Saccharomyces cerevisiae S288C: one gene and its partners. Changing the gene in region 4 together with the main gene of any one other region gives a genetic interaction. Each region holds a gene or a part of one and is shown on either strand. Other genes may lie near its edges. The genes, in order: VAM3, GUP1, RIM20 and VPS8.

The links.
Region 1: mutations in VPS8 (region 4) and VAM3 together harm fitness less than expected from each alone (positive genetic interaction), as found in Saccharomyces cerevisiae (4 studies listed by BioGRID).
Region 2: mutations in VPS8 (region 4) and GUP1 together harm fitness more than expected from each alone (negative genetic interaction), as found in Saccharomyces cerevisiae (3 studies listed by BioGRID).
Region 3: mutations in VPS8 (region 4) and RIM20 together harm fitness more than expected from each alone (negative genetic interaction), as found in Saccharomyces cerevisiae (3 studies listed by BioGRID, with this or other methods).

What each region holds. Positions count from the first base shown.
Region 1 is NC_001147.6:517,289-522,428, forward strand, and holds VAM3 (SNAP receptor VAM3), read left to right. Parts: upstream 1-1,832; coding exon 1,833-2,684; downstream 2,685-5,140. Other genes in the region: PIN2 (Pin2p), read left to right, coding at 354-1,202; YOR105W (uncharacterized protein), read left to right, coding at 907-1,233; GTPase-activating protein RGS2, read left to right, coding at 4,065-4,994. UniProt on the Saccharomyces cerevisiae protein: Required for vacuolar assembly. Provides the t-SNARE function in a late step of the vacuolar assembly. Required for homotypic vacuole membrane fusion, autophagy and fusion of biosynthetic transport vesicles with the vacuole.
Region 2 is NC_001139.9:348,160-354,072, forward strand, and holds GUP1 (O-acyltransferase), read right to left. Parts: upstream 4,140-5,913; coding exon 2,457-4,139; downstream 1-2,456. Other genes in the region: coiled-coil domain-containing protein MAD1, read left to right, coding at 1-1,209; LCL3 (Lcl3p), read left to right, coding at 1,457-2,281; SCY1 (Scy1p), read left to right, coding at 4,899-5,913. UniProt on the Saccharomyces cerevisiae protein: Membrane-bound O-acyltransferase involved in the remodeling of glycosylphosphatidylinositol (GPI) anchors. Acts only on GPI-anchored proteins, but not on free GPI lipids.
Region 3 is NC_001147.6:836,628-842,954, forward strand, and holds RIM20 (Rim20p), read right to left. Parts: upstream 4,443-6,327; coding exon 2,457-4,442; downstream 1-2,456. Other genes in the region: MOD5 (tRNA dimethylallyltransferase), read left to right, coding at 1,047-2,333; CAF20 (Caf20p), read left to right, coding at 4,706-5,191; uroporphyrinogen-III synthase HEM4, read left to right, coding at 6,190-6,327. UniProt on the Saccharomyces cerevisiae protein: Required for the proteolytic cleavage of the transcriptional repressor RIM101 in response to alkaline ambient pH, which is necessary for sporulation and invasive growth.
Region 4 is NC_001133.9:141,570-148,031, reverse strand, and holds VPS8 (CORVET complex membrane-binding subunit VPS8), read right to left. Parts: upstream 4,326-6,462; coding exon 501-4,325; downstream 1-500. Other genes in the region: transcription factor TFIIIC subunit TFC3, read left to right, coding at 1-438; EFB1 (translation elongation factor 1 subunit beta), read right to left, coding at 4,872-5,412, 5,779-5,858. UniProt on the Saccharomyces cerevisiae protein: Required for localization and recycling of the CPY sorting receptor (VPS10) to the late-Golgi compartment. Involved in the retention of proteins to the late-Golgi. Plays an integral role in the complex vacuolar protein sorting process.

The DNA of each region.
Region 1 (5,140 bases), on a different chromosome or scaffold from region 4:
GCTTTTTTTTGCTACGAACGTGGCCCTTTTTATGCTTATTTTTCGTTGTAGGAAAATGCCTCTTCTCTTATAACCAAATGGGGAAAAATATAAATGATGCATCTCGAAAAAGCTTCAAGATCTACTGGAACCGCAACTTCTACTCTAGAACTGGATAAAAGCCTAGAAGAACTTCAAAATTAAAGGGGCGCAAGAAAGTTTCAAATATATTACATATTTGCTACTTAGATCAAGAATAACCACCCCCGGTCGTGACTTTTTAGATTTTTTTTATCTTGTTTATTTTTAGCAAAATAACCGTTTCAAGAAAATACTAGAAATATAATCAAAGACTCCCAAGCGTATACACAGTAATGAACGTTTGCAAGTTGAAAGAAATAGTACCACTATTTCCGAGATCGTCCTTTACAGATGGTGTAGTAAGTACAGGAAAAAGTTTCCGAAGCTGGGACACCTGCATGGACAATAAAGCATGTAAAATTATTGCGATTGTTGGTATTGTTTTGGCCTGTATTCTTGTGATTTGGTTGATTGGGGGCTTACTGACATGTTTCAGGCAAGGGGTAACAGGAATAGGTCAGTTCATTTGTTGGTGTTGTCGTTGTTCTAATGACAGAAATGGAAACAATACAATGCCGGTAAATGAGGGTTTTAGTAGAGTTAATATGGGCGTGGCTCCTCCTTCTACTGTGATTTATCAGCCTATTCAACAACCTGAAAGTGCGTATTATAGAAACGATGCGAAGAATGATACATTTTACGACGAAGTCAAAACTCCCAGTAATGAGGTGTATGAATTAGAGGAAGATTTCGATTTGGAAAAACAAAAAGAGAAAACAAGGAAAAAACAACAGAAGGAAAGAAATAAAGAAGGACGCAGCCCTAGTAGGGTGGCCCCTCTAGTGTATGAAGAAGAAAATTTCGAAGGTAGCAGCCCTCAGCCGCAATATGATGCTAGAAATTCGTTTATCCAAAATGCGGCCAATACTGGTAGCAACAACGCTCATGTTGCTTCACAATCTCCAATTTTTGACATCAGCGATTATGGCGAGAACTATTATTACGATAATAATAACATCAATAATAACCTCCAGGGAAACAGTTACAATACTCCCTCCTCTAATCATAGAAGTCCATATCCAACCGAAAATTATCAATCATATCAGGGATATAAACCAAACCAAAGCGATAGATATTACTAATGAGGTAAATATATATTCCCCCTTCTTTTGAATAATCAGTCAGACATTTTAAGATCAAGAGGATTCATTGGTAGATTTTGCAAGAACCAATTAGGAATTTCTTCAGGAATAACTGTGAGCTTGCGTTTACGGAAAGGAAAGTAAAAAAAAATCTTCCAACGAGTTTTTCCTTGTACCGGTTGCTAAAAAGGTGCCTTCTAACAGGTAACACCAGAAACCGCAACTTTTAAAATGCAAATAAGGGCAGTCAATGGTGAACTTCCTCTTGGTCAGTTAGTATGTACAATAAATTAGGTTGTTTTCCTCAGGATAAAAGTGATCTATTTGTAACATATAGTTTACCTAGGTGCTGACGAGGACACAGGAAGAGCAAAACTAAGATCATACAAGTCAATACTTATTATAATCAAATGATAATATTCGTTCAGCCTCATATTCGAGTTTCACATCACAACTTTTTTTTTCGCGAGATGCGCAGTAAAAACTCTATATACATTTTTGTAGTGAATTTTGATTTTGATGTAAAGAAAGCAGCCAGGAGATTAAAGGAAGGAAAATAGAACAATAAAAAACCACGGGATCAGCATTAACAAATTGGCCAACTAATATCCACTGCAGAAAGTTGAGATTATGTCCTTTTTCGACATCGAAGCACAATCTTCAAAGGGTAACTCCCAGCAAGAACCACAATTCTCAACAAATCAAAAAACGAAGGAATTAAGCAATTTAATTGAGACATTCGCTGAACAATCCCGCGTGCTGGAAAAGGAATGCACCAAAATTGGTTCCAAACGGGACTCCAAAGAACTAAGATACAAAATTGAAACAGAGTTAATACCGAACTGCACCAGTGTAAGGGATAAAATTGAGAGCAACATCCTCATTCACCAAAATGGAAAGTTGTCTGCTGATTTCAAGAACCTGAAAACGAAGTATCAATCCCTACAACAATCATACAATCAAAGGAAGAGTCTGTTCCCTCTAAAAACGCCTATTTCACCAGGAACATCTAAGGAAAGAAAAGACATCCATCCGCGAACTGAAGCCGTGCGACAAGATCCAGAGTCTAGTTATATTTCTATAAAAGTAAACGAGCAGAGTCCTTTACTGCATAACGAAGGACAACACCAATTACAGCTGCAAGAAGAACAAGAACAACAACAGCAAGGATTGTCCCAAGAAGAACTAGATTTTCAAACAATCATTCACCAGGAAAGATCCCAACAGATAGGACGCATTCATACGGCGGTACAAGAAGTCAATGCTATTTTCCATCAGCTCGGTTCATTAGTGAAAGAACAGGGAGAACAAGTAACCACCATAGACGAGAATATCTCGCATTTACATGATAACATGCAGAATGCAAACAAACAATTAACCAGAGCAGACCAGCATCAGAGGGACCGTAACAAATGCGGTAAGGTCACCCTAATCATTATAATAGTTGTGTGCATGGTGGTATTGCTTGCTGTATTAAGTTAGTAATCTCCTTAAACGCGCATTGAGCACAGACTTTCTGGTAGACCCAATCTTATCTATTTACGAAAACAAGAGTGTATAAGAGTGTATAAGTTATTTTTTGCATTTATTCTTTTGTGGTAGGGGGGTTTCTTAGCCGCTCTTTTTGACTCAAAATTTCCTTTGATGTCTAGTGATAGTGCACTTCCCATGTGCGCAACCTGTGTTTTTTGTACTCCGTAGTTTAAATGCAAGGGCTCGATATGCCCTTTTTCCTTTTTCTACTTTGTACGATCTACACTGACCTTTTTTCAGTAGTCCGTAAATCCCCACGAATTTCTACTAGCGACTGCCAATAAAAAAAGGATTGTGCTACTGTATGTAAAAAGTAAGAACCCTGTTATTTTCCGTTAACTGTCATTTGCCTTACTGTTGCTTAACGGCCGCCAACCGTTATCAAGAAACAAAACATTGTATGCGTTGTCTTCTAAATGAACCTTGTGGGCCCTGATAAACATAAGAACGTGTCTGGCTCGGAAGTATTTATCTTATTTCAATTTTCGCTTTTGCAGAACATCCTTGCCTGTCACTAAGATAAGGACAGAGCGTGGATTAATAAAAATGGCAGAATTTCTCGGCAAAAAAAGAAATCATGCATAATTACCTCGATGTGTACGTTATTGCGGGCACGATCCTGTCGCTACGGCCTGATAGTAGCGGCTATTCTGCTGGCGAAAATTTTCAGCAGTTTGAAATCTTACTGTGGCGTCCCGGTCCAGCCGAGATGACATCTAACTAAGAAATGTCCGCTGCGGCACACCCACGCCGTTGCAGCTAAAGTCGCGCACCAAGCACAGACCTGCTGGAGAATGAGGAACAAGGTTGCGTTAAATGCTTCGGGAAGAACTGCCGAACCGAACCGCTAGAAAAGTGCGCAGGTACCCCGATCGAAGCGGCTCGGCGCTCATTTTAGCACAATCAGAAAAAGGAAATTGAAAGAAGAAAAAAAAAACATAATCATTAACAATTCTTTTCTTGAGATATACGTATATATGACGTCGTCATGTAGTATCTCTTTCGGGATACCCTTTGTAAACGTCCCTTTGTGGAGATGAAAAAAAAACTTGCTGAATAAAGATAGTTAAGGCGCTAGTAATCAAATTAATAACATATTATACCACATCACATCTATACCATTTCCGTTGCACATTGCTTGAACCAGTTGCCAAAATTGACTAAACGGATTTTTACAAAGTCAACGGTGATCACTAAAAGCAAACAACTCAAGCGACGAGGCAAGGAAAGAGAAGAAAAAAAAAATATTACATTGGCTATATAAATATCAAAACATCTTAGGTAAGGCACCTTTGATACATAAAACGAAGAAAATTCAGCACATGCCAGATGGCGAGTGTACCAAGTCTATGCGACATACTGATACCGCTAGAAAAGAATAGTCGCAGCGACGGCGATGCTGAAAGTAGCAATACAGTGCTGATTCAACTGCGAAAAGGGCATCACGAACGGATGCGTTCTCCTTACACAATACAAAAGTTTTACAAATTTCTAAAAAGAGCTCATTGTGAGGAAAATTTAGAATTTTTCGAAAAAGCTCATCAGTTCCTCCAGCTTAAGCAAAACAGGAGTATTAGCGAGGAGAAGCTCTTGGAAGTTTGGAACAAGTCGTTGTACATAAAATACATTGCCGTGGACTCCCCCAAAGAATGCAACTTTTCACAGGATACTAGGGAGATATTTGAGAAGTGCTTTGCTAACAATGAAGTACCTGCCGACGTAGACGTCCTGTGTGCCATTAGCCATGTGATGGGCCTATTAATGGACGGGTATCACCGATTTGTGAGTTCTGTTAATGAGAAAAAGTACTCCGCCACATATGCCCACAATGACTCTGCTACGGAACAAGATCTCAAAAACGAGTCTACAACTTCTTTTTCGTCATTAGGCGTGGAGGATATTTCTGAAGATAGAAATTCGTATCTTAAGAAGCCTGATATCAATGGTTTGTCAACTATCATTCAAGAAACGTCTGCAAACACGACCAATGAGTCGCAATGCAGCGATCGCACTTCTCGGCCAAGCGAGTCCTCTTCCTCACTCAACACTACCAGCTCGACCTACAAGAATACCAGCACTAGAAATCTGCAAAAACCGCAAAATACAGGAATTCTCAACTCGGGGAAAGGTTTATTGCAAAAACTTAACTTTGTTAAAAAACGGAAATCTTTCAAACAGCCTTCAGGCGTCATTTGTAGCCATTATAACAGCAATGTTCAAAACCGTTTGAAAGGACAAAACAGTCATCAACAAAGATAGCCTCTTCATCATCTGTGGAGACACAAATATCTTCATCCTCATCGCCATTACCCAATAAAGCGATCGGTAAAAATGAAAAAAGCGTTGAAAACGGCTTTAAAAAGCTAAATTTGCATGATATCAGTTAATCAAGATTAGAACTTTGA
Region 2 (5,913 bases), on a different chromosome or scaffold from region 4:
GATAATAATAATGATACAAGTAATAACAACAATATTAATAATAACAACAGAACCAAAAATAACATAAGAAATAACCCTGAAGAGATTATCCGGGACTGGAAACTTACCAAAAAGGAATGTTTAATTTTGACAGATATGAATGATAAGTTAAGATTGGACAATAACAATTTAAAGCTACTGAATGATGAAATGGCTTTAGAGAGAAACCAAATACTAGATTTGAACAAGAATTATGAAAACAACATAGTAAATTTGAAAAGATTAAATCACGAGTTAGAACAACAGAAGAGTTTATCTTTCGAAGAATGTCGATTACTGCGCGAACAATTAGATGGCCTATATTCCGCACAAAATAATGCTTTACTAGAGGTCGAAAATAGTGAAACACATGCGTCAAACAAGAACGTAAACGAAGATATGAATAATTTGATCGATACTTATAAAAATAAGACAGAAGATTTAACAAACGAACTAAAGAAGCTAAACGATCAGTTATTATCAAATTCCAATGATGTAGAAACACAAAGAAAAAAGAGGAAGTTGACAAGTGACCAAATTGGTTTAAATTATTCACAGAGGCTCAACGAATTGCAACTGGAAAATGTAAGTGTCTCGAGGGAGTTGAGTAAAGCACAAACTACAATTCAGCTACTACAAGAAAAATTAGAAAAGTTAACTAAACTAAAGGAGAAAAAAATACGTATACTGCAATTACGTGACGGCCCCTTCATAAAAGATCAATTTATCAAGAAAAACAAATTACTTCTTCTAGAAAAGGAAAATGCAGATTTACTTAACGAATTGAAAAAGAATAATCCAGCAGTGGAAACAGTACCCATTTCTGTTTATGATTCACTAAATTTCGAGTTGAAACAGTTCGAACAGGAAGTTTTTAAGTCAAATAAAAGATTTTCCAGACTAAAGCAAGTTTTCAATAATAAATCTTTGGAGTTTATTGACGTTGTAAACTCATTATTAGGTTTTAAATTGGAATTTCAACAAGATAGTCGTGTGAAAATATTTTCCTGTTTCAAACCTGAAAAATATTTGATTGCTGATCTAAATGAAAACACTTTGAAATCTAACCTTGATGCAGATATAGAAGGATGGGATGATCTCATGAATCTATGGGTGGAAGATAGAGGTCAACTTCCGTGCTTTTTGGCAACAATAACATTGCGTCTGTGGGAACAGCGACAAGCCAAATAAGTGTATATACATTTCTAATAGATAATAGTAATCGGTTTTATAATATGATAAACTCCTATCCGCTGACATAATTGTTGGTCACAAAATTCTTTTATCTTTCTTCATCATTGACCTTTTATGATTCCTTTGGTATGCAAAAAAAAAAAAATTGTGTTGAAGAATAAAAACAAATTACAGAATAAGTCACACATGATATAAAAAGAAGCCCAGTTTTTCATAGCTATTAAGGGGGCATAAATGCACTTATATGAGGGAAGGTGATTCTAATTCAAAAAAATCTGCGGATGTTGCTGTCCTCTCCATCATCCTTACGGGTTCGACCTTAACATTGATCTACACATATAAAAGGTATTTAACTCAATTCAAAAGAACAAATGATATACCGCGAAGAATATTTCGTAAACACTGGCTTTATGGTAAAGTCACGTCTGTAGGTGACGGGGACAACTTTCATTTCTTTCACATGCCAGGTGGTATAAGAGGTGGATGGGGATGGTTACGACCCGTCCCACAAATGATCAAGAATGATTCTACGGCAGAAAAGCTTGTTGGAGATAGCAGAAATATGAGGTTTTTCAATTTCAATTGGATTACGCATGGGAGGTCCACCAAAAGTAAAATACAAAAAGCTAAAAGCCAGTTCTTGAAGCTAAATGTACCTTACAAAAATAGGAAAAACCTGCCAACTATTCCTATAAGATTATGTGGAATCGATGCCCCAGAAAGAGCACATTTCGGTAACCCAGCTCAACCGTTTGGTAATGAAGCTTTAATTTGGTTACAAAACCGAATTTTGGGAAAGAAAGTATGGGTCAAGCCTTTATCTATAGATCAGTACAACCGTTGTGTAGCTCGAGTGTCATACTGGGACTGGTTTGGTGGGTGGAAAGACTTAAGCTTAGAAATGCTCAAGGATGGATTAGCGGTTGTTTATGAGGGTAAAGTAAACACAGAATTTGATGATAGAGAAGATAAGTATCGATATTATGAATTTTTGGCAAGATCTAGAAAAAAGGGACTGTGGATCCAGAATAAATTTGAAACGCCTGGTGAATATAAAAAACGTATTTGAGTTTTCGAGAGGATTTTTATCCATCATACTGCAGATTTTCATATTATATGTTCATTAGCTTTTCACGCTTCCTCTCGATATTTTTTTATTTATTTTCGGTTTCATTTTTGTACTAGTAGATAAAAATACATACATGATAGCAGTGTTATACAATTGATATTCGTAAATTTGGCATTCAGCATTTTAGGTAAATTCCGTGCCTCTTTTCTTCTTCTCTGATTTCAAACATTATTTGTACTGCGATGAATAAACTAACGCTTGCCAAAATTACAAATTTGAAACCAGATACGGTACAGAACATATCGCTTAGTAATTTTTTAGTACCGTCAGAGCCCAAGCAGAATCCAAAAAGATTAGCGATCATCATAACCCATATGTTGAAAACAGCACCGACAGCGCAAACGTGTCTGTACCAGACTGCGTCGGTATAATGAGAGAAAATTTGGGTAGCAAAAATTTCTGGTAAGAGGAACAAAACTATTAGCCAACCCCATAATAATAACTTTAGTTCGATGTCATGCCATATAGCTACGAAGGAAAAGACTGCTAGTGATGTCAAAACTCTATTTTTTGAACCACCTAGAGGAATATATATGTAACGGACAACCCACTTATTGTAGCTTCTATGCCAAGCTCTCCAGAATGCTAGTGAACTGTAATTGTTATCAACACACCTGATCATATTTTCAGGTGTATCGATTCCGTCTAGCAAAGCCCACAGCCTAAACAGCCTCCACGGAATCAGTAGTTTTAGCCAAATAATATTCAAATTAAATAAGCCAATCATGGAAATCTGGAAAGGTGTGTCATTTTCCCACGCTTTGGTTTTTGAGATTGCCACAACGTGGAGAAAGTGTAAAATGAACTCCATAGATAAGAGAGCAATAACGAATCTCACCGCATAGTAAAAAATGAATTTGAAATTTATTGATGGCAAGGTATGTTTCGATTGGTAAACATAATCATTGAATGTTATAATGGGGCCGGCAATGAAAAGTGGCGTGTAAGTAACATATGCAATATAATTCATTAAGCTGTAGTCCTGTATGGGGTGTGCAGCAGTTAATCTAGCACGTTCATTGAGCAAAATGGCTGATTTAGCTTCTTTTGATTCATAGGATGGACTTTTCTTCTTTTGTAAATTCTCCCACCTCTCTAAGAAGTCCAAGTTGTAACTTAAGACTCTCAAAAGAGTAAAATTGAAAAAGACATCCCATCTTGGAATGATACCTCTATACCAATGGTCCAATGGGCTTAAAAAAGAGCAAATATTACCAAATGGATATGCTCTGAAGTTGTCGTTAATAAAAAGCGTAGAAATACCATAAATCCAAATGCTGATGGTGGCTATTCTTCTAAAGTTCTTTAGTACATGGGCGATGGCATATAAAATTAGCATATGGGCTAAAATTCTTATCGAATTGACACCATGAGCGGCCACTAAAAAGATCAAACCAAATATCAGATCAAACCTCAATTTAGTGATATTTGTTGAATAAAGTACAATGCGTTTTATAGAAGTGTGGACTAGCATTAAAACTGACAATAGCGCAAAATTGTCCCTGAAAAACCTATATTGAGAATCACTATTGTCTACTTTTCTGCCAAATAACCAACCTTGAGATAGGAGACGTTCGTATCTTGCATAGTTTGGATTTTCGGGCGAACTAGCTTGTAACCCAGCATAGAACATCAAGGGAACCACGACCAGAAATGCAATGTAGTAGAATTTGAACTCAGTAGTTTTCCATAGTGATGGCTTAGTGGTAGTAGAGGCATCCTTTTTTGGTGAAGGTTTGATTCTTGAATCTAAGCCCTCGGAAGTAATTAGGGGAGACAGGATGCTGATCAGCGACATTTCTTGCAATTGTCTGTTAACAAATGCTGATTCACGCTTTGTTTTTGCCTTTGTATGATTAACATCTATATATCGAAAGCAATATGCTAAGTTATTATTCTTACCCTTTCAGTGTCCTTTTTGGCACACCCACTAAACATAAAGAGAAATACGTGAACACCTATACACCCTATATTATTTTGATTGTTCAACATTGCTTGATTCATCATCCATTCTCCAGCTCTCGAATCTTGTTTCTGGCTTTTCCAAGATTATGTGAAAATTAACTTACTCTTTTTGGTCGATAAATAATTACAAGTTCAAGTGCATGTCTAATTGGAAACTTATTTTTATGTCCGATTGAGCTGATGTTCAGCTAGTTTATGTTTATACAAGAAAAATGCTCACCCGTACATATGCTCCTTCTTCACTCATTTTCTTGTCCTGTTGTTGAGACATTCAACTTTGATCCTGCTCTTGTACTTTTATGATTCATTACTTATATATTGGTCTTCATTATTCTCGAGATGAAATTCTCAGGGTCTTTTAAAAAAAAAGTTTCAGTAGGAAAACTAAACGTAATTAAACTATTCTTCGGTTCGAACCTGAAGTTGCGTGAAAAAAAGGGTACTGCAGTCTTGAAAAAATAGAAGCCAAAAAGAAGTTAATATCAAAACAAATAAATCTTGCACATATTAAAGCGCACAAAAGTATTCAAAACAGTGTAACTTCGAATATCGTATCATTAAGGAAAATAGGACACACTTTGATTGAGCAGGGATGATGTTTTGGTCCTCAAAGACGGGTATCACGTCAAAATATTCATTTTCATCATCACCTACTTTCACAGCTGAACCATGGAGCATTTACACCGGTCGTCCCAAATCTTCATCTTCATCTTCACCTTCCAAAGTATCGATATTCATGTTTGACAAGAAGCAGTTCGAAAACTATTTGTTACACTATGGTATTATTAAATCCAAATCTGGATCCAGAGATAAAGTATTAATACAAGAAGCGTACGAAATATTAAGAAACCAGGCCAATAACTTGGCCAAGCTCAAGCACCCAAATATTCTGACTTTAATTGAACCATTAGAAGAACATAGCAAGAATTTCATGTTCGTCACCGAGTTTGTCACTAGCTCATTGGAGACCGTTTTCAGAGAAACCGATGATGAAGAGCAGAATTTCTTACAAGGTCATGTTAAAGATAATATCGTGGTACAGCGAGGTATATTGCAACTGGTAAATGCACTCGATTTTGTTCATAACCGCGCAAGCTTTGTACACTTGAACATTCAACCTAGGGCAATATTTATCAATGAAAATTCTGATTGGAAAATTTCCGGCTTAGGCTATTTAGTAAAAATACCACCAGGCACAAATACCTCTGAATACTTCTTACCTCAATATGATCCCAGAGTTCCCCCATTTATGCATTTACAATTGAATTATACGGCCCCAGAAATTGTTTTTGAGAATACCCTAACCTTTAAGAACGATTATTTTTCTTTAGGATTGTTGATATATTTTCTGTACACTGGTAAAGACTTGTTTCGCAGCGAAAATTCGACTAGTGAATATAAATTGGAGTACAACAAGTTTGAAAGCAAAATTAGTACAATGTCATGGGATAATATATTCAGTAAGGTTCCACAAAAGTTGAGGCATTGTATACCCAAGCTAATAAACAGAGACATCTATTCCAGATATGATAACATAACGTTGATTTTAGATTCTGAGTTTTTCCAAGATCCGTTAGTCAAAACCTTGAATTTTTTAGACGATTTAC
Region 3 (6,327 bases), on a different chromosome or scaffold from region 4:
CCGGTACCGTTTGCTCTGACAAGGACAATTAGCATGTAAGCACGAGTGCGGGTATGCAATCATTTCAGTGTTTCCTTCATTTGGCATAGTGTCGTAACACGGATTTAAGGTGAGCCGTCAGGGGCTTTTAAGCGGAGCCCCTGCAGCTTCATGAAGACGGAACCGCACGGGCCTATTACCTCGGGGATAGATCAATTATCCGAAGCGGGTCACAACCCGGAAATAATAACCACTATGCCCGACCGTACCGACGTGGCACTATTTTTGGGATCCGTGGAAGTCGGCCATTAGTGGTAATCGGCGAAAACAAGTTTATTGCAGCTAAAGCACGCCATACGGTTGATATAAACAGCAATTAGGCACTTTTTCTCTTATTATTCATATGCCTTATTGGCTTGTGGCTTGTGGCTTGTAGCCTATGCAAATGCATTTGCTGATAGCAGCATAAGAAAGTTGGGAAGAAACGCTAACTGTACTTTTTATATCCAGAGTTCATTAGTTGATCTTTTACCCCAATAATTTCTTCCACTTGCGGCCTGCTTCTTCGCATTTCTCCCATTCCGGGCCGCGACTCCGTAGTTCTTACAGAAACAGCCGCCTCCATAACCATCTATGATAGGAAAAAGATGGACAAACAGGAAAAGAGCTAGGGAGTATAACCTGATTCCTGACATGTATAGGATTCGGGTAATTTTGAAATACGAAGCTCTTTGCATTCCGAGACCGGTTTAGGAAGATTTATTTACATATCTACTTGCGCTATTGTGGTCATGCCTTCGAAAGATAAAGAGCGAATTTTGCTCGTATAAGCTAAAATCAGGTAAAAGTTCCTTATGTTGCTGCTCCTCGATGGCAACGTCGATCTAAGATCTTGATTACTGAATCAGGCGAAAGCACACGTTCATCTTTCGCTCATCGGAAAGAAAATTAAAACAGAAAAAAATTCTAAAATGGCAAAAAAGAAGAAAAGCTCAGTGAGGGCTGTATAGTTTATTAGATAAGCTACTATACGTACATATCTTTTGTAAATAGAACCAAAAATCTTCATGCTAAAGGGACCGCTTAAAGGTTGCTTAAATATGTCTAAAAAAGTTATAGTGATTGCTGGTACAACAGGAGTAGGAAAGTCTCAGTTGTCCATACAATTGGCACAAAAATTTAATGGCGAAGTTATCAATTCGGATTCTATGCAGGTATATAAAGATATTCCTATTATAACAAATAAACATCCGCTTCAAGAAAGAGAGGGCATTCCTCACCATGTAATGAATCACGTAGATTGGTCAGAAGAATACTATTCCCATCGTTTTGAAACTGAATGCATGAACGCTATTGAAGATATTCACCGGAGGGGTAAGATACCCATCGTTGTTGGGGGTACTCATTATTATTTGCAGACTCTTTTCAATAAGCGGGTCGATACGAAATCATCCGAACGTAAGCTCACAAGGAAGCAGCTCGATATTTTGGAATCGACTGACCCTGATGTGATTTATAACACACTTGTGAAGTGTGATCCTGATATAGCTACCAAATACCATCCTAATGACTACAGGAGGGTACAACGAATGTTGGAAATCTACTATAAGACGGGCAAAAAACCAAGCGAGACATTTAACGAACAAAAAATAACTTTGAAGTTTGATACCCTATTTTTATGGCTATACAGTAAGCCGGAGCCACTTTTCCAAAGGCTTGACGATCGTGTAGACGACATGCTAGAAAGAGGCGCCTTGCAAGAAATCAAGCAATTATATGAATATTACAGTCAAAATAAATTTACGCCGGAGCAATGCGAGAATGGTGTTTGGCAAGTTATTGGCTTCAAAGAATTCTTACCGTGGCTAACCGGGAAAACTGATGACAACACAGTAAAATTGGAGGATTGTATAGAAAGAATGAAAACGAGAACACGTCAATACGCAAAAAGGCAGGTAAAATGGATCAAGAAAATGCTGATACCTGACATCAAAGGCGATATATACTTACTGGATGCCACTGACCTTTCTCAATGGGACACGAATGCATCTCAAAGAGCGATAGCTATTTCCAATGACTTTATTAGCAATCGACCCATCAAGCAAGAAAGGGCACCTAAAGCCCTAGAGGAGCTGTTGTCTAAAGGCGAAACTACGATGAAGAAATTGGACGATTGGACACATTATACTTGCAACGTCTGTCGTAACGCAGATGGTAAGAACGTTGTAGCTATTGGCGAAAAATATTGGAAAATTCATTTGGGTAGCAGAAGACATAAATCCAACTTGAAAAGAAACACTCGTCAAGCTGATTTTGAAAAATGGAAAATAAACAAGAAGGAGACTGTGGAATGAAAATATTAGGAAAAAGGAGTTTATCCTGAGTGTATATATCTACATAAGTGAAGCTGGGTTTTGATAATGGAAAGGGAGGATGACAAGCTCAAAATATACTTTATAGATGAATGAGGACAGGTATCATTGGTCTTCAAATGTCAAACTCTTATCAAGCCTAGCTTTTTCTGCTCTTCTTGCTGTATCATATTCCTGTACCTCATTGTACAGATTGCTGGTAGAAGTAATTAAATTTTCGTAAAATGCTGTGCCGGCACTTAAATTTTCTTTCACCTCATCAAGCAGTTTGAAGGAATATCTCAGATCTTCAATATATAGCTCTCTGGGATCTATTCTTACCATTTTCTTTGGTTCAATCCCGCTTCTGCCGGGGTTATTCTTCTTACTTAGGTTTACTTCCTCAATAAGTTTGATATTTTCTTCCTTTGTACTATTAACGTATCTTAAATCTTCGTCAAAGTATTTTAAATGGCCTATGAAAATGGGTTCAAAGTCGACTGTTCCATTTTTTTTATACGATGTAATGATCTTTGGAAGTATTCTATATTCTGAAGATTTCCGCCTCGTCCTATCAATATAATCATTTCTTTCCTGTATGATCATCTTAATCTTATTCGTTAGAGGATCATTAGATTCCGGTAACCTGATCTCTGATCCAATCAAATTTTTATCGATGCTTTGAAATAGTTCATTTGTTTGTTTGTCAATCGCACTACCTTCATCAAGGTATCCTCTCAGCTTTTTTAGTTTTTCATAATATGCTGTGTTAGTAGTTGAAGATTCGGGTAAAGTCCAATTTAAGGTTCCGTGTTTTAGTCGGAGCTGATTGTCAGTAAATGCTTCTTCATTTAAAATTTGCTCAATGTTATCGAGTTGTACCTGCACATTTTTATTATTAATGAGAAGATTATTCAGTGATGCCTGGTAATGACTCAGTTCTGCTTCACTCACCTTTGTAAGCCCTTGTGGTATTTGGAAAGTAGTCAAGGACTCCTTCAATAGTTTATTTAGGGAAGCAAGGGGATTGGTAACACGTTGTTCAACGTATTCATCTTGCCTTTCATTGTATGCTGTGCAATATTCCATCACTTCTATAGGGATTAGGTCTTTGAATAAAGTCTCATCCTTTTTAATAGAAGGCAACAATGTTGCTGAAGAAGATGGTTTAACCATGAGAGCTGGTTTGATCGATGGTAATTCCGAAGGAACTTCTTGTAAGTAGATGAATTCATTGTCTCTTTGGGCTTCTTTCAGAGAAGATTCGACAACAGTTTTAAACTTAGCTTGCGAAGATAGTGTTGATTCATTTATAAATTGCAATCCCATTTGCAGAGCTTTCACAACATTTCCGAACTGCTTCTTCTCATTAAAAGATAAGGCTATTCTGTAATAAGTCACCGCACTAAAGTAAGCCTTTTTAGCCTTTAAGTGGTTTATCCAATCACTTCTAATAAGTTTCCCCCTTTGGGCGTCATTAATAGCCTCGCAGTAGAAGTCCACGATCTGTTGTGACAACTTCGCGATTAAGGAGTCCTTGTGTTTATCTTGCACGGCTTTAAACCAGAAGCATTCTTGCGCTTGTGCTAGCATCAGGGAGGTTAAAGCGTTCAATGTGGCGTCATCTACCACTGGGATTGTCTCAAGATTTTTTTGGTGGTCTAAAACATGTTTAAAGCATCCGGCGGCATTCTGGAAGTACAGACATGACGTTTTGAGGGATTCGGCTGCATCATTGTTGCTATTTAGAGCCAACAGTGAATACATGCAACCAATATTATAAATAATGGTTAATTTTTCCCATTGTAATGAGTATTGACTAGTACCACGAGATTTTTGTGATAGCGTTTGAAACCATGTAAATTCTATTTGATTATTGGGAAACTTTTTCTCTAATTGCAACAATATTACATAGTATTCCTTCAGTGCAGAAAGACCGTCGATTGAGATATCGGGTGCAATCGCATTGTTTCTTGCATCAACAACTTTGAGTATGTCTGATTGGAAAAAGGATGCCGTTTGAAAGGAAGTAGTATCAATTAGTTTTGACAACTCCGTGGCAAAGTCCACTTCTAAAGTTCGCTTAAGTGGAATGGCAAGCAGTTCACTCATGTCACACTGCCTGGATCTCCATAGATAATAATACTCTCTCTGCAAGGGTATAGTAGTGTTTTAATAAGGCTTTATAGTCCCTTTTCTTATGCTATATTATAAAGCCGGGTAGTAGCGAGGCTTGAATATCTCTTTTCCTGGACGAAAAATAGTGAAAAATTGGAAAAAGTATTTGGCGTAAAGCATATTCTACCGATTGCGATAGACATTATTTGAGCTGTAACCTGAATATAGGATTAAGAACTTTTATTTAATTTCACGACATGATCAAGTATACTATCGATGAGCTTTTTCAACTGAAGCCAAGTTTAACTTTGGAAGTTAATTTCGATGCGGTGGAATTTAGAGCCATCATTGAAAAAGTTAAGCAATTGCAACACTTGAAAGAGGAAGAGTTTAACAGTCATCATGTTGGTCATTTCGGTCGTAGAAGATCTTCCCACCATCATGGTAGACCAAAGATTAAGCACAACAAGCCTAAGGTTACAACCGATTCAGATGGTTGGTGCACATTTGAAGCCAAGAAGAAGGGTAGTGGAGAAGATGATGAAGAAGAAACAGAAACCACACCAACTTCTACTGTGCCAGTTGCTACCATTGCCCAAGAAACTTTAAAAGTCAAGCCAAATAACAAAAATATTTCTTCCAACAGACCTGCTGATACCAGAGATATTGTTGCGGACAAGCCAATTCTTGGTTTCAACGCATTTGCTGCTTTGGAAAGTGAAGACGAAGACGACGAAGCATAAGTCATTCGCTCATGCTTTCTTCAGGCAGCTGTACGTGTACTATGTATAAATTTTGAATAACATTTTTTTTAATAAACAGTTTTTACTCTTTTAGGTTACTTTCCAGATTGAAAATATACAACGTGGTTACATAAAGAAATTAAAATGTAGAACGAATCATGACCAACTGTATCAGGTGTTTAAAAAGGCGAGGTGAAAGAGAAAGGCTTCCCCCTCTAATATCAACAGCTGGAGATACATCTTTCTAATAATTAATCTACCATGAGCCGTACGCACTGAAGCAACGCCCATCAAACATCCGAAGCCACATTATGAGTACAAAAGAGGCTGACGTTAATAGGAACTCATGGTGTAATTTTGCTTCACTTTTCTGAATTCAAATGGAAATAGAAGTAAAAATGGGCAGAAAAGTTACCTCATGCTTTAAATATACTCAACTTTTCTCTACCGACAGTAGGAGCCCTAAGAGATAAAGCGAAAAATTTTCACAGCGCGCTCCTTGGTGCGGCGAGGGTATAAAAGGCGATTTCATTTCAATTCTTTGAACTTACTTCATTTGCAGGATCCTTCAGGATAAGAAAACCATCATTCAATAAACTGATCTTCCGGATTACCATGCTTAAGACATCACGCCTCCATATGTCTATATAAAGCGCAAATGGCTGGAAGTAGACCAATTTTTTTTGTTCCTAGCTTTTCATTATTGAAATCTAATCCAGTTTTAATGGTTTTTCTTAATTAAGAAAACAAATTATCATTGGTTCGCTCTAGGTGTACATATCTTCACTTCATTACTCTCTTGTTTACATTGTATACATCGTACATATACTTCAATTATGGAAATACCATAAATTCTCTTAGTGTGTAGTTCACTAGTTTTTGGGGTTGGGTTGTGCTGTAGTCAGCTAAGGCGCTTTAGTGAACTTTCTAGTGAGTTTTTTGAATTTTAGTGTCAAAGGATAAGGAAACAGAAAGGTAAAATAGACCTTGCTCGAGAGATGTCTAGTCGTAAAAAAGTCAGAGTATTACTGCTCAAGAATAAAACTGTCCCCATTGATAAATATGAATTGGAGTGTAGGAGTAAGGCGTTTGAACCCATATTCGTACCGCTTATTAAACATACACATGTAATTCAA
Region 4 (6,462 bases):
GGAGAGCTATTGAATATGGATGTAATTCCAATGGTGAGAAATGTTCGACCTTTAACGTATACTTCAAGGAGATTTGAAATACGAACATTAACTCCCCCTCTGATTATATATGCCAATTCTCAGACAAAATTGAATACAGCAAGGAAGTCTGCTGTCAAAGTTCCACTGGGCAAACCATTTTCTCGTTTATGGGTGAATGGATCTGGTTCCATTAGGCCAAACATATGGAAGCAGGTAGTTACTATGGTCGTTAACGAAATAATATTTCATCCAGGGATAACATTGAGTAGATTGCAATCTAGGTGTCGTGAAGTACTTTCGCTTCATGAAATATCAGAAATATGCAAATGGCTCCTAGAAAGACAAGTATTAATAACTACTGATTTTGATGGCTATTGGGTCAATCATAATTGGTATTCTATATATGAATCTACATAATGAAATGAGGTGTATAAATTTTACTTTTATGTAACCAAAGTTGTATTAAATATTTAGAAATGTTATACTATTTTTGGGTTAGATTCCGTCTGGCAAATTAAACAAGAATATTCATCGGGTTTCTGGGCCAAGTTTTCGAGGCAAGTCTGGTGAAAGCCATGGTGACATTTGAATATGACAAGGGGAGTTTTGAGATCTACACTAATCATATCTTGGTGGCGCTGTACATTTTCCCAAGCTAGAAAAAGTAATGGGTCCAGACCAGCTCCCCATATTTTTTTCCCGCAGATTTCGCAGTCGTCGGTGTGTATAGACCACCCTTCACTCAGAAATTTTCTATACTGTTGAACAAGATCTTGCGAAGAATCCTCTATAATCTTTTGAATCAACTCAGAAAGAGATCTTTCCAATTTATAAGTATTAAAAACATTCAGTAGCAGTTGCTTTAAATCCTGAACTTTCATTAAAATAACGTCTTGGTGCTCAAGAACAGAAGACATTATTTCCCAGAATTCCCCACCTGAATCCTTCTGAGAGGAACTCTTGGACCTAACCAATCCCAAAAATGCTTCTTGAAGTAGTTTATTACATAAATCTTTCCTTTCATCGTGTGAAGGATATTTCCCATATAGAGTGATCAGGAATGTAATCAATAATATCCAACACGATTTTTTCTCGGTACCAGCAGAATTACAATCATCAAAGGCCCTCCTCAAAGATTCCAATAAAGTAGATATATTTGTTTTCCCTTCATTTAGACATTGTTCAATAAAACTTAATAAATCCCTGACTGCTAGGTTAAAACTTTCCAAGCGTTCGTGAATTATAGCTGCAGCTTCAAAATTAGAGTCTTGATTCAATAAGTCCAGAATTTGTAAGCTCTCAGCGTTGCTGAGAACTGTACCATTAAGCCAAAGAATCATTTCCCTTTTGCTCTTGTATTTACAGTTCAATTCGATGTGTAAATTTCTTAAACGCTTATCGACCTTATTGTTGATATTTGGCGTAGAAAAAAGCTTATCCAAATACTTTTGCTGAGTCTCCTCATTCTTTACTTCCAGGATTTCTTGATGAAGATTATAGTCAAAGTCAGAAAAAATTGTGACGCATTTTTCGATACCGATCCTTGAGAGAAGAAGATCAAAGTTCGTCTCGATAACTTCAGTAACTTTGCCACATTCTAAACTTCCAGGTGGGCATTTTTTGAGTATGTAGTCGGTTATGGATACAATGTCCGTGTTATATTCTTTTTCGATGTCCTTAGTTTCTAAAATAAGTGAAAGCGCACTGGCGTACTTATTTTCACTTTTATAGATATGGAAAAGAACTTTATTGAAATTTTTTTCTTTTAGTTCCAGTATAAAATTTTCTGTTGTTCTTGAATGATAATAGGGTAAAAGCGACTCCAGAGCTATTTGAGAAATTTCATATATACCTTGAACCCTAGAGGAGCATATGGTATTAACAACGCAGTCGAGGGCTTGGTTAGACACTTTAATAAATTGAGGATATTTTGATATACTAGTTGCAATGAAAATTGCAACAAGTACCCTGATGTTGTCTGAATTTCCCGTATCTTTCATAGCATCCAATAGTAGATCAATAACATATTGCCTACTTACCAATTCTGCTTCTCCAACTGATGCAACCATGTCATTGTCATCGTTAAACAAGGACGCTTCAAACACTTCATTGAGCATTGCTAAGAACCTACTCGGATTCGATTTCAATAAAAGGTGAAAGTAAGGAAATGCTGGCTCTTCTTCTGGATTTTCGCATATGTAAAGTTTATGATTGCTGTTCGACGGCCATTTTATGGAGAAGCCACTAAAAATAAATGCTGAAAGTTCCCTTTGTATTTTGGAGCATTTATCACTTGGTGATATAGACAAGTTTTGTGGATATTGCCTGCCAGTAAGGATATACGTTACGTAATCAAATATAGTCGTTTCAGGAGGTACTTGAGGACCATTGAAGATCACACATTTTTCACTTTGGTTAGAAATCCTGTATATCAAGTCCACCACTGGGGTTTGATAATCATCAAAGATCTTGTTCCAAATATATATTAATAAATCGAACAAATTATACTTTTGGCATAGTTTGACGGCAAGATCAACATCAAGCGTAGTAGGATTTAACATGATGATTAAGTCTTCAATTACTTTTAAATTCTCCTCCTTAGCATAGTAATCAATTATGGACCTGAAAAGAACTGGGGAAATTGACGTAACTGATCCTTGGGCAACAATATTTGCTACAACTTCAAAATATACCGCGTTGTCCTTCAATTCAAAGAACTCCAGACCCTGTTCCAAAAAGACGTCTAGAGAAGGAATTGAGTCTAGTTTTTTGGAAGATTGCTGCAAAACACGAACAACTACCATTAATAATTGGTAAACCCTATTGTAGTCGGCATTATCTTTTTTTATAAGAAACCTTAGGGCAGCCAAGGACAGATTGTAAAATGGTTCCATAAGTTGCTTAGTCCTCTCTTCCGTATTATTATCTAGCTTCAACAAGTTTGCCAGTGGACAGTAAGGTTGCAAAAGTGATTCTATGAACTCCAATGCACCCAAGTAGTCGCCTTTCAAAATATGTCTTAAAGTAATATCTGACCAAGACACAAATTTGCCAATTTTAAATGAGTAGTTTGTTAACAGGTAGAAACTTCTTCTACTTATTACAAAATATTTATTAGGTGGGATCATCAAATCGTGAATCAGAAAATCCAATCTTAACAGGATCTTGAAGTCATGTTGGGGGTGCAATACCAAAAATTGGTGCGATATGGTTAAAACACCAAGTAGGAGCTGGTCAATCCATTGAATGGATAATATAGATTCTGCAAATTCAGGAGAATGGCTAGCGGACTGAACATTGAAGTCTGATGAAGATATGGAAATAACAGAAATTTTATTATTTACGGAATAAGCAACCCTGGAACAGTTTTGAGTCCATGAAATAGAGCTATTCACGACTAGAGAATTTTGTACTGAGGGTTCAACAGTTTCTTGAAACATCAAAGAAACGTGTGGCGATAATAAAATAAGGGCAAAATGTGTAGTTGTGAGTACACTCAACAAATTAGTGGAAATTTTCTCCCGTGATATTAGTGGAGACAACTTTGACCTTATTAATTTCTCCTTGGAAGAGTTCACATCTAAAATTTTTTTTGAATTATACACCAACTGCCAAAAGCCTCTTCTGTAACCGTTATAGAGTGATACTTTACCTGTCCTATCACTAACAATCAGGGCTGTATGCCGAGCACCAAAAAAGTCTAACCCTGTGATTTCCTTGTTCACATGGTCATCGATGTGTAAGACTGCCGGTAAGGCAGGCGTTGGGGTCATACCATTTGTTGGTTCAGAAGTGGGTTTCACTCTATACCCTACGTTCAAGTTCCAAATGCATATATTTCCGGTCTCGTATGAGGCAGCTACATGAGTACCATCGGAACATATGACAATTGATTTCACTGGACTTCTTATTGAGTGAATAGAAGGGTCCTCAGATAAGGTCGGCACTAGGATTGTCTGCAAATGTTCATTATAATTAAAAATGAGTACGCATCCTTTAGAAGTGCCCATCAAAAAATACGTGGCTGTCGGATACAAGCACGTGGGCCCTCCATAAGCACCCAGGATGGAATATACGTGTGTTAAAGTTGTCCATGAGACTACGGATTCGGAGCCTTGTGACACTGCAGAAGCTACCCCTTTAGGACCATCTTCGTTCAGGGGAGGTGCCGTATATGAAGAACTAGATGCCAGTTTTTCACTTAATTGGGTATACGATCTAAATTCTAGGAAAGTCTTTTGAGTGTCATTAATAGTCGTATCGATGCTAGATCTGCTGTCGTGGTCAAGGCCATTTTGCTCCATTCTAGGTGTAATGAGTAATGGTCTCGGCAGATATATATTTTACACTTATTAAGCCTTTGTATGTATTGGTAATAACTGTCCTTTTTCACGCAGGTATATCATCGTAACCAGAGGTTCCCTTTTTTTTTTTTCCACAGGAAACTCACGTTTTGATTATATGTCTTTCTCGTTTTTGCCATGTTAAGCTACGAATAATGAAATTTTCCTTTTCTTCTAATCGTGAAAAAGTTATCCACCATAACTCCCTACACCGCGTATTTTCGACAAGATATTATGAGTATGTGTATTTAAGAATATGAAAAGAGATATACATAACTTGAATATTCCCGGAATAAATTCAATTAATAAACACGATTCCTTATATAGTGGTTACACAAATTAGTAATAATGTTTCGTGTGCAGTCGAAAAGTTTATCGTTCAAAATTCCTTCTGTTTTTTTTAGCCTAAAACCTAAGTTATTTCGTTGTTTTTTTCATTTATTTGTTAATCTTTACAATGTTGTTTTTGCTTTAATGTTAATTATAAAAAGTTTATAAAAAAGCCTTTTATAATTTTTGCATAGCAGCAATATCGGTAGATTGGACGTGGTCTTCGTCTTCTTCAATGCTTTGTTGCAAGTCATCCAAGGAAACCTTGTCATCTTCGACAACACAGTTAATTTGCAACTTCTTGATACCGAAACCAATTGGGATAAATTGGTGAGCACCCCAGGTCAAACCTTCCATTTCGATGGCCTTGACGTTAGCAACCATTTCTTCCAAATTGGTTTCATCATCCCATGGCTTGACATCTAGAGTGACAATGGACTTAGCAGCTGGCTTAGCTGGCTTAGCAGCCTTCTTAGCGTTGTATGCGGCAATTCTTTCAGCCTTCAACTTTTCAGCTTCAGCGTCAGCTTCTTCATCGTCGGAACCGAATAAATCGACATCGTCATCTTCTTCTTCTTCGGCAGCGGCAGCAGAGGCAGCTGGGAAAGAGTCGAATTCATCGGCCTTGGAAGCGATGTGGTTGAACCATCTGGAGAATTCTGGGTAAGCAGATTGGAAAGCCTTGAAGACAGTGACGTCAGCTTGAGAAACAGCAGTACTATTTTAAAAGGAGAAACAAAACATTTTGCTTGTTAGTAATGAGAACTTTTTTCTTGTAATGCAATCTTTAGACTCTGTCTTTCTTTTTTTGAACAAAAAAGGAAAAAAAAATAACAGATAACTAATAATGATACTCTGCTCTGTGCTATCGTCAGATACTGTGATAGTCAACCACATCTCTTTTGTCACTCATATCGGGGGTCTTACTTCCCATCATAAACACGGACCAAAGAATTAAATTCATCATTCACATAAGCGAAAAAAAGTAATCATTATTAGTTAACTTCCCTTTACATGTAACCATAGGAAAAAAAAAAAAGAAAGAAAAACAACGATCTATAAAGTAAACTAAATCGGAACATACCCTTCAATGTATGACTTGTCAGCCAAAGAAGCGTTTAATTGTTTCAAAGTTTCAATCTTGGAGAAATCGGTGGATGCCATTATGTGTGTATATATTCGGTTGGACTCTTCAGTGCTGAAAGGTAGAAAGCATGAGGTAAAAAGATAAAGAGTAGAAGGAAAAAAAAAAGAACCAACTAAATATAGTGGGTAGATAACCTTAAACTATTTATTTAGAGGCGACAATGTGAAAAATTTTTTCTTCAAAGGCTCGGTTGTCGACAAATTGTTACGTTGTGCTTTGATTTCTAAAGCGCTTCTTCACCTGCAGGTTCTGAGCCCTAAGAAAAAAAATTTCCTTGGTTGAAAATGGCGGAAAAAAAAAATTCAGAAAAAGAAATAAAGCACGTGTGCGCGGTGTGTGGATGATGGTTTCATCATTGTCAACGGCATTTTCGTTCTTGTGGATTGTTGTAAACTTTCCAGAACATTCTAGAAAGAAAGCACACGGAACGTTTAGAAGCTGTCATTTGCGTTTTTTCTCCAGATTTTAGTTGAGAAAGTAATTAAATTATTCTTCTTTTTCCAGAACGTTCCATCGGCGGCAAAAGGGAGAGAAAGAACCCAAAAAGAAGGGGGGCCATTTAGATTAGCTGATCGTTTCGAGGACTTCAAGGTTATATAAGGGGTGGATTGATGTATCTTC